3 linked regions of the Lonchura striata genome follow. The protein of the gene in region 1 purifies or fractionates together with the protein of each later gene. This does not show direct contact. Links are inferred from orthologs where the notes say so. Each region holds a gene or a part of one and is shown in the gene's direction. Other genes may lie near its edges. The genes, in order: CUL4A, GLMN and DCAF11.

What was found.
Region 2: the proteins of CUL4A (region 1) and GLMN purify together in Homo sapiens (affinity purification with mass spectrometry; 5 studies listed by BioGRID and IntAct, counting the BioPlex papers as one, with this or other methods). This does not show direct contact. The link is inferred for Lonchura striata from reciprocal best matches to the Homo sapiens genes CUL4A and GLMN.
Region 3: the proteins of CUL4A (region 1) and DCAF11 purify together in Homo sapiens (affinity purification with mass spectrometry; 13 studies listed by BioGRID and IntAct, counting the BioPlex papers as one, with this or other methods). This does not show direct contact. The link is inferred for Lonchura striata from reciprocal best matches to the Homo sapiens genes CUL4A and DCAF11.

Annotation. Positions count from the first base shown.
Region 1 is NC_134604.1:91,515,391-91,519,135, reverse strand, and holds the start of CUL4A (cullin-4A), read left to right. Parts: upstream 1-1,081; 5' UTR 1,082-1,130; coding exon 1,131-1,290; intron 1,291-1,814; coding exon 1,815-1,930; intron 1,931-3,745. Other genes in the region: PCID2 (PCI domain-containing protein 2), read right to left, coding at 89-124. UniProt on the Homo sapiens protein: Core component of multiple cullin-RING-based E3 ubiquitin-protein ligase complexes which mediate the ubiquitination of target proteins. As a scaffold protein may contribute to catalysis through positioning of the substrate and the ubiquitin-conjugating enzyme.
Region 2 is NC_134611.1:20,526,961-20,530,705, reverse strand, and holds the start of GLMN (glomulin), read left to right. Parts: upstream 1-972; 5' UTR 973-1,352; exon of another isoform or gene 1,353-1,380; intron 1,381-2,591; 5' UTR 2,592-2,649; coding exon 2,650-2,715; intron 2,716-2,851; exon of another isoform or gene 2,852-2,901; coding exon of another isoform or gene 2,902-2,934; intron 2,935-3,176; coding exon 3,177-3,302; intron 3,303-3,745. Other genes in the region: putative RNA polymerase II subunit B1 CTD phosphatase RPAP2, read right to left, coding at 49-94, 923-965.
Region 3 is NC_134641.1:644,942-648,686, reverse strand, and holds the start of DCAF11 (DDB1- and CUL4-associated factor 11), read left to right. Parts: upstream 1-1,170; coding exon 1,171-1,177; intron 1,178-3,745. UniProt on the Homo sapiens protein: May function as a substrate receptor for CUL4-DDB1 E3 ubiquitin-protein ligase complex.

The DNA of each region.
Region 1 (3,745 bases):
CATACTTACAGCAAACAAAAACACACCCGCATATACTCAAACAGGGCCCACAGAGTAATTAAAAAAACAATAACAAAAGCTTGCTTACTTGCTGCAAGTACTGGTTTATGGTGATGTGCGCCATTGAAGGGTCCGGAGCTGAGGCGGAACTCCCGGCACTCCCCCCGCGCTTCCGGATCCCGGCGCGCGCGAGGCCGGCGGGAACGGCCCCGAGCGTCACGTGACAGCCCCCACCGGCCTATGCCCCGCCCACCGCGGGCCCGGGGCGTGGCCTCACTCGGGCAGCCAATAGGAGCGAGCGTGGGCGGGGCAGGGGGCGCGCGCCGGCGGCAAACCGCGTGCGCTGGCGCTGAGGGGTGGCGGGTGCTGTGACTGCCACCAGCGCTGCCTCTGGTACCCGCGGCTTGGACAGCAGGCGGGCGGTGCGCTCCGTGTGGCCGGACACTCCAGTGACTGCCCCAGGAGGGCTATGGAGGCTCGCCTCCCAGTGCTCCAGCGTTGCCCACGGGGAGCGCTGGCGAGAGGTCGCCGGTGAACTTGGGTCGAAAAAGTTGAATTGAGCATTAAACTTCCAAGCAGGTTGACTCCTAAAGGCGCTGGCGCCAGGGAGATGTGTGAGACAAGGACGTGCTCCATGTTCGTGCAGGCTGGGCTCGGTTGGGTTTGGCAGGTGCCGGTGAGCAGGGCGCGGGCGGCCTCTGGGGATGGCGGCTTTTGTGGGCGGCAAGAGCGGCTGCTCTGGCTTGCGTTCGGCCGCCCTTCGGCGGGTACCAGCAAACAGGGCAAGCAGGGACACCGAGGGGCCGCTGCCGCCGGCGGCAGGCTGCCCCGGCCCGGGAGCCATCTTGTGAGCGGGGCTGGCGCTGCCCGAGCGCCGCGGGCCGCCCGGACTCGGGAGCGGACTCGAACCCGGGCCCGCCCCGAGCCGGCCGCGGGGGCCGGCGGAGGCGGGCGGGCGGCTACCGGTGCCTTCCCCCGGCGGCACTTGGCAGCCGCCCGCGGGCAGTGGGGGAGGGCAGCTGGGTGGCGGCGGCGGGGGAGGAGGAGGGGAGCGGAGGCGGGGACCAGCCGGCCCCGGCCCGGCCCAGCCCAGCGCGTTGCCCCGGCCGGACACGGCGCCCGGGGCGGAGATGGCGGACGAGCCGCAGAAGAAGTCGCACTTGTCGGCCTTGGTGGGACACACGAACGGGCTCACCAAGCCCGCCTCGCTGACCGCCAGCCGCTCTGCGGGAGGGGGAGGAGGAGGCGCGACCGCCTCCTCCAAGAAACTCGTGATCAAGAACTTCAGAGGTGGGTACGGGGCAGGCCGGGCCCTCTGTCCTGGCAGGTGCGCTCGGCCCGATCTTTGTTTACCGCGGCCGCTCCCCGCCCCGTGCCCGGGCCCCGCCGCCGTCACCCGCCCGCCGCCCTGTGGGCGAGGGGAGGCGGCGGCGGGGCTGATAACGCCGCCGGGCTGACAGCGCTGCCGGCACCGTGCCCGTGTAAGGGCTCCCGGGGACACGCGTGGGGCGCCGTGCGCGGGGGCAGCGGCCGTCGGGAGCGGGCAGAAAGCCACCTTAGTGTCAGCGCTGATTAAAGCCAGGCGAGGGTGGTTGCCTCGCTAAAAGTAACACGGGCGTCAGACACAGCGGCCGGGGGGTGAAGCGCGTCGTGCAAAGGCTCGGGTGGAATTAGTGACCCCTCTGAGTGTGCCAGACTTACAATGCCGAGAGCACAGTGGCTTGGCAGAACTTGATGGAGCGGCAGGGAGAGAGAAATTGCTGCAGGCTCTCGTTGGGTGGCCGTTTTCAAACTACCTGTGTCTTACTTCACAGAAAGACCCAAATTACCTGATAATTATACTCAGGACACCTGGCAGAAACTTAATGAAGCGGTGGGAGCCATACAGAGTAGTATTTCTATTAAATACAACCTTGAAGAGCTCTACCAGGTAAGCTACATAAGGTGTTGGTTTCGTTTTTTACAATTAAACTGCTTTGGCACACATTCAACATAATGTATTTTGATTTCTTAAAAGCTGATTGAATACTCTGCTACATACTTTGTAATCAGTTTTTGTATGTATCAGTTCCTCGGAAAGTTACCAGGATCTGGGCCCATGAAAAAGCAGTTTCTGTTGGGAGGCACAGAAAGCTATTCCTGGGCAGGGCTGAGATCTAAGTCTTAGTATCTTCAATACTCTGCCCACTCAGCATGCTGAAAACAGGATGTTACTCTAACAGGGTTATGAATTATTTTCGTGCGTGCTCTGGTCTCTTGTAAATAGTAATGTTGAAGTATTTGTTATTATTGCATTATAATATTACACTTGTATACCTTTTGGGGAATTAAAAAGCAATCTTGATTGAGCAGGCAACAAATTGTCACTTTATCCACATTTCAGATTACTGTTACATTTTCATAAAAATCAAGATCTTAGTTTTTTGGTTCAAGTGATGAAAAAGCATTTCTGGAACACCTGCACTACTGGAGCAGAGGCTAGGGAGGTTAAAAGAGATGGACTCCTAAGCCATTTCTTTACTTTCTCCAGTTATATGTGGTTTAGTTCTATGTTATTTCAGATGTATGTGCTTTGAGGTATTTAGCTGAAGTAGCAGCTTTCTAGAAAGAGCATGCTATAAAAGAGTACTGATGCACTAAATTGTGCTATATAACATAAGTTCATTATGACTTTTCCGTGGGTGCAGTGTTTGATCTGCAGGTTAATGTCCTTGCCGGTCCAGGACTGAAAATATTATTATGCACTCCTAAAATTTTCTAAATGTTTAGTTGAGGTGCAAAGGGTGGACTGTGAGGGAGGAGAATGCCAGTAGTCCATACTGGGTCCCTGTTCAAAAAGATCAGAATGGGTTTCAGAACTGGCTATACTTACCCCTTTAGTTAGGGTATGTAATATATAGGTCTAAAATAGCTGATTATGTAAATGTGTATTAGCTTAAAATAATTATTCCCTTTAAATATAAAACTTGACTATAATATATCTATTAATAATCACAGATTTGCAAAGTTTGAATGACATAATGCCTTTTATTGTTTTAAATTTGGCATTTGAAAACAACTGCTTTTTCATGTCTAGCAAAAAAAAAAAAAAAACAAAAAAAAAAAAACCAAAAACCAGCCCACAGATGCTTTGAGTGTTACCTAACTTGTTTTCAGAGGATCAGAAATGAGATTATAGTAATATGTCTATGAAATCACTAGGGAACGTGCTTGAGTTTTGGCAGAAGAGGAGAGATATTTCAGATAAACTGTGAAGGGAGAACTGTACTTCTTGCTTTTTCTCTTTGTTTGCTTATTTGTAAAAACTGTGCAAGGCTGGTCAAATAATCCTTAGCACAGCAAATCGGGAAGATTTCTGCACAGTGGGTGGTGATGCTCGGTGTGCCTCTGCATAGACAGGTTTTACTGTCCTGCCAGAGGAATAAAAGATGAGGTTCAGCATCCATTGGAAACCTGATCTGTATTTACAGATCATTTTAACTGCCTGTTGGTGAGCATCGAGTCATCCGCAAGGGAAAATATCTCTGGCTGCATCAGTTCTTACTATCAGGCCTTTGTGGTGGTTTTTGGGGTTTTTTTGAGTCTTTATCTGACATTATAGGGGGAAGTGAGAGGCCTTCTAGAGTTCAGTGCACTCAGTGGGTTGGTGTACCAGCCTACAGTTGAACCTTCTGATTTATTTATTTAATTTGGCACAGTGGCTGAGAAGAAACTGAAGAACAGTGATGAGGCTGTGTGGGAAGCC
Region 2 (3,745 bases), on another chromosome or scaffold:
TGAGCCAAAACAACACAAATATCTCATATTATTCCTCAGAAATTATACCTTTGAGCAGCATCTTCATTTTTCTGAGCAGCTGAATGCTTATTTCCTAAGAATCAAATATACAGATATCAAAATTAGTGTACTTGCTTAACAGCAGATGTTGGAACCTGAAAAATATGAAAACCTCTAAACTGTAAGCACAATTAAGATAATTTCTTATTATTGCTTTTGCTGGCTGTGATTTCAGTAAGCTGGTATTCAGCAACCAGACACACTTTAAAAAGTGTGAAAACAGGCCCAACGCTTCTTATACTCTCATTCACCACGTTCTGTATGCACAAAAAAGAGAAAACATTCTGACAATGGCGTTGTGCCAGCCACACCCCCCGTCTCTCCAGGCGGTAAAGCCCAGTTTTACCGCGGCGCCCCACTGCCGTCCCCACGGCTGCCGCGGGGCAGGGCTGAGCCAGGGGCCAGGTCCAAGGCCTGACACAGAGCCGCTCCCTCCCGGGACGGCGCCCGGCCCGGCTCCCCACACGGGCGTCCGCGCAGCCGCTCCCCTCCGACACGGGCAAAGGCAGGGGCGCACCGGGCTGTCACCCTGGCAAGGACGCAGCGCCGCGGGCAGGGCTCGGCGCTCTGACGGCACGACCGCCGCCACAGCCCGTCCCCGATGCTCAGAGCCGCCGCCCCGGCCCCTCACAGCCCGAGGGCACGGCGGGTCCTGCCTCGCCCCGTCCGGCGCACCGCTCATCGCGGCCCCGCACCCGGCCCGGCAGAGCCCGGCAGAGCCCCGCAGAGCCGACCACGGCCGGCCCGCGCTCCCCTCCGCTTGGCTTGGGCGACACCGCCGCCGTGCCGGCCTGCGGGCACAGGGAGAGCCCAAAGCGCAGCCGGGGGGAGCGGGGGCTGGCGCGCGGACCCCGGCGCCCACCTGCGCGCCGCCGGCGGGACTTGCCCGCCGCGGCCGCCATCATCGCCGTCAGCGCCGCTCCGCCCGCCGACCTCTCACCCGGGGCGGGGCCGGGAGAGGCGGCAGCGCCGGGCTGAGGGCTTCCTCTGGCAGGGGCTGAGCTGAGCTGAGCACAGGCGGTGCCGTGCCCTTGTGGCTTGTAATTCAGCCGTGTGTTACAGGCTTTAGCTGGCAGCCTTTTCGTCCCATCCTGGCTGTTGTACCGCCCAGAGAAGGGGCTGGGGTATCTGTTTATTAGAAGAGAGTTTGGTGAGTATTAATAGAACGTTTCACATGATTCAGACGCTGCTCACTTGCCGCTGAAACCTCCTAAAAGATTCACTTGGAAGCCGGATTAAGTATTAAGGCCGGAGACCATCTGCGAGCTCAGCCAGCAAATCCATGCAACACGGTGGGTGCCTGGGACGCGTTTCAAGGCTGTAAGTACATTGTCAAGTTACTGAGGGCTGCTGTTCGAAAGTATGTTAAATTGTTTTGGCGGGATTAGTAATAGTCTGTAAAATGAAGAGTTTAAATAGTACAAGATGTGGTAAGAAAGTATGTGGTAATGATCTGGTTGAAATGACAGGCTAGAAAGGATAGGTTTCAGTGACATACAGGTGTCAGAATGGGCCCTGAAGAATAGGAAGTGAGTTGTTTATTCTTTGAATAAAGAAGGTCATACACAGATGCCTTTTAAGCTTTTGTGAGTTGTCGCCTCTTGTGAGCGTCTAGATAGGTTCATTATCTGTGTGTTGTCTCATTTAGGTGTGCTGGCAATTGGCCAGCGTCAACCCACCACTTTAGGTAAAACTAAGAAGAAAGGCTCAGGACATTGCATGGAGATGCCTGTTTTGATGAATAGTTGCCTAATTAACCAGGTGTAGGGGTAATTGACAATCATAGTGATAATATAACCAGGTTTAGGTCCATGGCATTACTTAAAACCATAAAGATTATGACTGCTGCTATGATATATCACATGGGATAACCAGGCTTGATTGCATTTTTAATTCATGAGCCTGGCTACATAAAACTTGGTACATACTTGACATTACTCAAGTGTATAACTTTGTTGTTTTTAGCAAGAAAGTTTTAAATTTTAATACCTAGAGGTAAAAAGCCACTGCACTAGTCCCACCTAGACACTAGAAAGAAATAAGTGAAACTGCATATGTAATCTTCACTGGACTGTTGATATAAACAGGCATGGTGTTTGAATCAGTGCCTTCACACACCAGATATCGGGTTAGTGTGTTCCAGTCAGGGCTGAGCAGAAGCTCCTCTGGTCAGAATAGGCACAGAAAATGTAGTGTGTCATGGGTGTGCCTCCTTGGCATGCAGTGAGCCCAGACTTGCTCTGTGTTAGCTGCAGTTTTCCATGTCTGTGCCTGCAGTAGTCACTGAAACCTTCACACTTCTTAAGATGACCCAGATAGTACTTGAAAAATTATTTCCCTGTACATAGAATGCATGTTGTTTCCTGTCTGTAATACTGTTTCCTGCTAATATGGGGAGTAGAATAATATAGCATACACTTAGTAAAAATGAATTTTCCCTTATTTGCTAATTATGTAGTCTTTATATTTGTCTAGATTGTTCTTGTTCCCCCATTAACTTTTTTTTTTTTGATAATGTGATTATTTTTCAGCCTCTGTTTTAAATCCGTGTAATATAATACTGCCCTCTTTAATTTATAATAAATTTTCATGCTGGAAGAACACAGTCAAACTAAAATGGCAGTTGATGAACTTCAAGACATAATACAAAGATGTGTAAGTAGTTTTCCTTCCTTAGAAGTAACAAGTGTCAGTAGTGCGAGTTTCTTTTCATATATTAGAATTAAAACCAAAATTACCTCAAAAAACAAGTCCACTGTTAGTAGAACTCTTCATGGAACAGCTAAGTTGAGCCTCCATGTTTCATTGCCTTCTCTGTGGTGCTTATCCCAAGATGCTTGATTATTTCTGCTTCTTGGAGAAGGAGGTGTGTACCTAGGAACAAAAGCTGGTAGTTGTAGAAAACACATCTTCCAAACAGCAAGCTGTAATGTAGACTTAGTGCTATTGAAATACTGCCCTGTCTTCTGTAGTAACTTGGTAGCTTTTTTAGTAAGTTAAAAATGTATAGAAGTTACAATGATATTACATCTAATTTTGAAATGAAAGCATGGATTTTCTTATTTCTTAATTGACTTTGCTAAGTATGAGGTTAAACATTCATATTTTCTTTCTAGCAAATTCTGGAAGAAGCTGATTTCAAAGGAGAAGATTTCAATCTGTTTCAGGTAGCAGGTCAGAAATGTTTGGAAGATGGATATGCAGCTCAGTTATTAGAAGTAATTCAAAATGAGAAAAACAAGGTGAGTTTAAGTTTGCACTGCATAGTAGTGTTTATTAACATTAAATATAAAACTGCTAATTAAGAGGGGAAAGCTACTTTCTCTGTGGAGCAAGGCTGTACATAAGAGTAGCTAATAAGTTGCCCTGTGTTAAGTGCCCATTATTCTGTATTCAGGTATCTTACAGAAACCCAAGTCACAGTAATCTTAACAAAACCATTAATAACTCTTCTGTGAGTGAAGCAAAGAGAAAAGGAAGTAGAAAAGCATAATTAGGAGAAAGTGGCATGTCCCACTTCCACAGGACGGGGATTTCAGATGGTGTACTAGGTCTGGCTGGCATGGAGTTGGCTTTCATCATGGCACACTGCATAGTGCTGTGTTTTAGATTTGTGACCAAAAAGGTGCTGATAATACATCAGTGTTTCAACTACTGCTGATCAATACTTGTGCAGCATCAAGGC
Region 3 (3,745 bases), on another chromosome or scaffold:
TTTCCCCATTTTTTCCCATTTTCCCCATTTTTTTCCCCAAGATTTCCCCATTTTCCCCAATTCTCTACATTTCCCACATTTTTTCCCCGCTTTTCCCCAATTTCCCCCAAAATTTCCCCATTTCCCCCATTTTCCCCATTTTTCCGCATTCTTCCCATTTTCCCTATTTTTCCCAAATTTCTTCTTTTTTTCCAAATATTTCCCCTTTTTTCCCAAATTTTCCCCCATTTTCCCCCAATATTTCCCATTTTTTCCCCATTTTCCCCCATTTTTCCCCAAATTTTTTCTTTTCTTCCCATTTTTTCCTCATTTTCCCCAAAATTTTCCCATTCCCCCCCAATTTCCCCCATTTTTCCCCATTTCCCCCATTCCCCCCAATTTCTCCCATTTTCTCCCATTTTCTCCCAATTTTTCCCCATTTTTCCCCATTTTCCCCCAAAATTTCCCCATTTCCCCCCATTTTTCCCATTTCCCCCCAAATTCCCCAAATTTCCCCCATTTTTCTCCATTTTTCCCCATTTTTTCCCCATTTTTCCCCGTTTTTCCCCAATTTCACCCAAAATCTCCCCAATTTCCCCCAAATTCTCCCATTTTTCCCCATTTCCCCCCATTTCCCCCCATTTTTCCCCATTTTTCCCCATTTCCCCCCAATTTCTCCCAATTTTTCCCCAATTTTCCCCATTTTTCCCCATTTTTTCCCATTTTTTCCTATTTTTCCCCATTTTCCCCAAAAATTCCCCATTTTTCCCCCATTTTTCCCATTTTTCCCCAAATTTCCCCCATTTTCCCCCCGTTTTTCCCCAAATTTCCCCCAAAATTCCCCATTTTTCCCCCTTTTTTCCCCTTTTTTCCCATTTTTCCCCATTTTTCCCCATTTTCCCCCATTTTCCCCCATTCCCCCTCTCCACCAATCCCCGCCTCCCTCTCATCCCGCCCCTCCCCTCTCCACCAATCCCCGCCCTCCTTCCATCCCCTCCCCGCTCCCACCAATCCCCGCCCTCCTTTCCCCCTCCGCCAATCAGCGCGCTCCCCCCGCAGGCCACGCCCCCTCCCCCCTTACCCCACGTGTCAATCAGCGCGGGGGGGGCGTGGCTCGCTGCCTGCGCGCTGATTGGCGGAGGCGGCGCGGTGGGCGGGGCCTAACCCGGAAGTGGCGGCGCGGGGGGATCCATGGGCGGCAGGAGCGGAGGGGGGGGAGGGGAAAGGGGAGGGGGGGGGAGGGGCGGCCCCGGGGGGGGGGGAGGGGCCGGGGAGGGGGAGGGTGGGGAGGGGGGGGAGGGGCTGGAGCTGCCGGAGCTGCGCGCGCTGCTCAGGAGGTGAGGGGGGGGGAAACTGAGGCAGGTTCGGGGTGGGGGAGGGGGTTTGGGGGGTGGGGGAGGGGATTGGAGGGGTGGGGGAGGGAATTTGGGGGGGATTTGGGGGAAACTGAGGCAGGTTTGGGGGTGGGGGAGGGGATTTGGGGGGAAACTGAGGCAGGTTTGGGGGTGGGGGAGGGGATTTGGGGGGAAACTGAGGCAGGTTTGGGGTGGGGGAGGGGATTTGGGGGGGATTGGGGGGAAACTGAGGCAGGTTCGGGGTGGGGGAGGGGATTTGGGGGGTGGGGGAGGGGATTTGGGGGGTGGGGGAGGGATTTGGGAGGGATTTGGGGGGAAACTGAGGCAGGTTTGGGGTGGGGGAGGGGATTTGGGGGGAAACTGAGGCAGGTTTGGGGTGGGGGAGGGGATTGGGGGGGATTTGGGGAAACTGAGGCAGGTTGGGGGTGGGGGAGGGGATTTGGGGCATTTTTGGGGAATTTTTTTGGGTTTTTGTTGGGAATTTTAGGGAATTGCTTGGGGAAATTTTTGGAATTTTTTGGAATTTTTTTGGGAGATTTTTGGGCATTTTTGGGGTGAATTTTGGGGTAAATTTGGGTGAATTTTGGGTAAACTTTGGTTAAATTTCGGGTGAATTTTGGCTGAATTTTGGTGTGAATTTTGGGTGAATTTTGGCCATTTTTGGGCTGAATTTTGGCCATTTTTGGGGTGAATTTTGGGTGAATTTTGGGTAAATTTTGGCTGAATTTTGGCTGAATTTTGGGTGAATTTTGGGTAAATTTTGGCTGAATTTTGGCTGAATTTTGGCTGAATTTTGGCTGAATTTTGGCTGAATTTTGGCTGAATTTTGGCCATTTTTGGGTCATTTTGGGGGGAATTTTGGCTGAATTTTCGGTGACTTTTGGGTGAATTTTGGGTGAATTTTGGCTGAATTTTGGGTGAATTTTGGCTGAATTTTGGCTGAATTTTGGCTGAATTTTGGCTGAATTTTGGGTCATTTTGGGGGGTATTTTGGCTGAATTTTGGGGTGAATTTTGGGGTGAATTTTGGTGAATTTTGGGGTGAATTTTGGCTGAATTTTGGCTGAATTTTGGCTGAATTTTGGGGTGAATTTTGGCCATTTTTGGGGTGAATTTTGGGTGAATTTTGGGTGAATTTTGGCTGAATTTTGGGGTGAATTTTGGCTGAATTTTGGCTGAATTTGGGCTGAATTTTGGTGAATTTTGGGTGAATTTTGGCCATTTTTGGGTCATTTTGGGTGCCTTTTCTCCAGGGCCGGGCGGGGCAAATCCCGGAGCCGGATCCGGACTCAGACTCGGACTCGGAGCCGGAACCGGAACCGGAACCGGAACCGGAAGCGGAAGCGGAAGGGGGGGGAGGGGCCCCGGAGGCCTCCAGAGGTGGGGGCGGGGCTTAAAGGGGGCGGGGCTTGAGGGGAAAGGGGCGGGGCTTAAAAGGACCACATTTAAATAATGGGGCGGGGCTTAAACAAAGGGGAGGGGCTAATAGGACCTGATTTGAATAAAGGGGAGGGGCTTAAACAAAGGGGAGGGGCTTAAGGTGACCTGATTTGAATAAAGGGGAGGGGATTAAATAAAGGGGAGGGGCTTAAGGTGACCTGATTTAAATAAAGGGGAGGGGCTTAAACAAAGGGGAGGGGCTTAAAGGGGCCAGGTTTAAATAAAGGGGAGGAGCTTAAATAAAGGGGAGGGGCTTAAAGGGGTCGAATTTAAATAAGGGGAGGGGCTTAAACAAAAGGGAGGGGCTAAAGGGATCTAATTTAAATAAGGGGAGGGGTTTAACTATAGGGGAGGGGTTAAAGGGGCCTAATTTAAATAAGGGGAGGGGCTTAAATGGGCCTAATTTAAATAAAGGGGAGGGGCTTAAATAAAGGGGAGGGGCTTAAAGGGATCTAATTTAAATAAGGGGAGGGGTTTAAATAAATGGGAGGGGCTTACATGGATCTAATTTAAATAAAGGGGAGGGGCTTAAATAAAGGGGAGGGACTTACAGGGATCTAATTTAAATAAAGGGGAGGGGCTTAATGTAACATAATTTAAATAAAGGGAGGGGCATAAATAAGGGGAGGGGCTTAAAGGGGAGGGGCTTGCATTGATCTAATTTAAATAAAGGGGAGGGGCTTAAAGGGACCGAATTTAAATAAAGGGAGTGACTTAAATAAAGGGGAGGGGCTTAAATGAATCTAATTTAAATAAAGGGGAGGGGCTTACATGGATCTAATTTAAATATGGAGAGGGGCTTAAATAAAGGGGAGGGGCTTAAAGGGGAGGAGCTTAAATTATCTAATTTAAATAAGGGGAGGGGCTTAAATAAGAGGAGGGGCTTATATGAGGGGAGGGGCTTAAAGGGGGGGGGAGGGGCTTAAAGGGAGGGGTCAGGGTTAAAAGGGGCGTGGCCTGATCTGAGGCCCC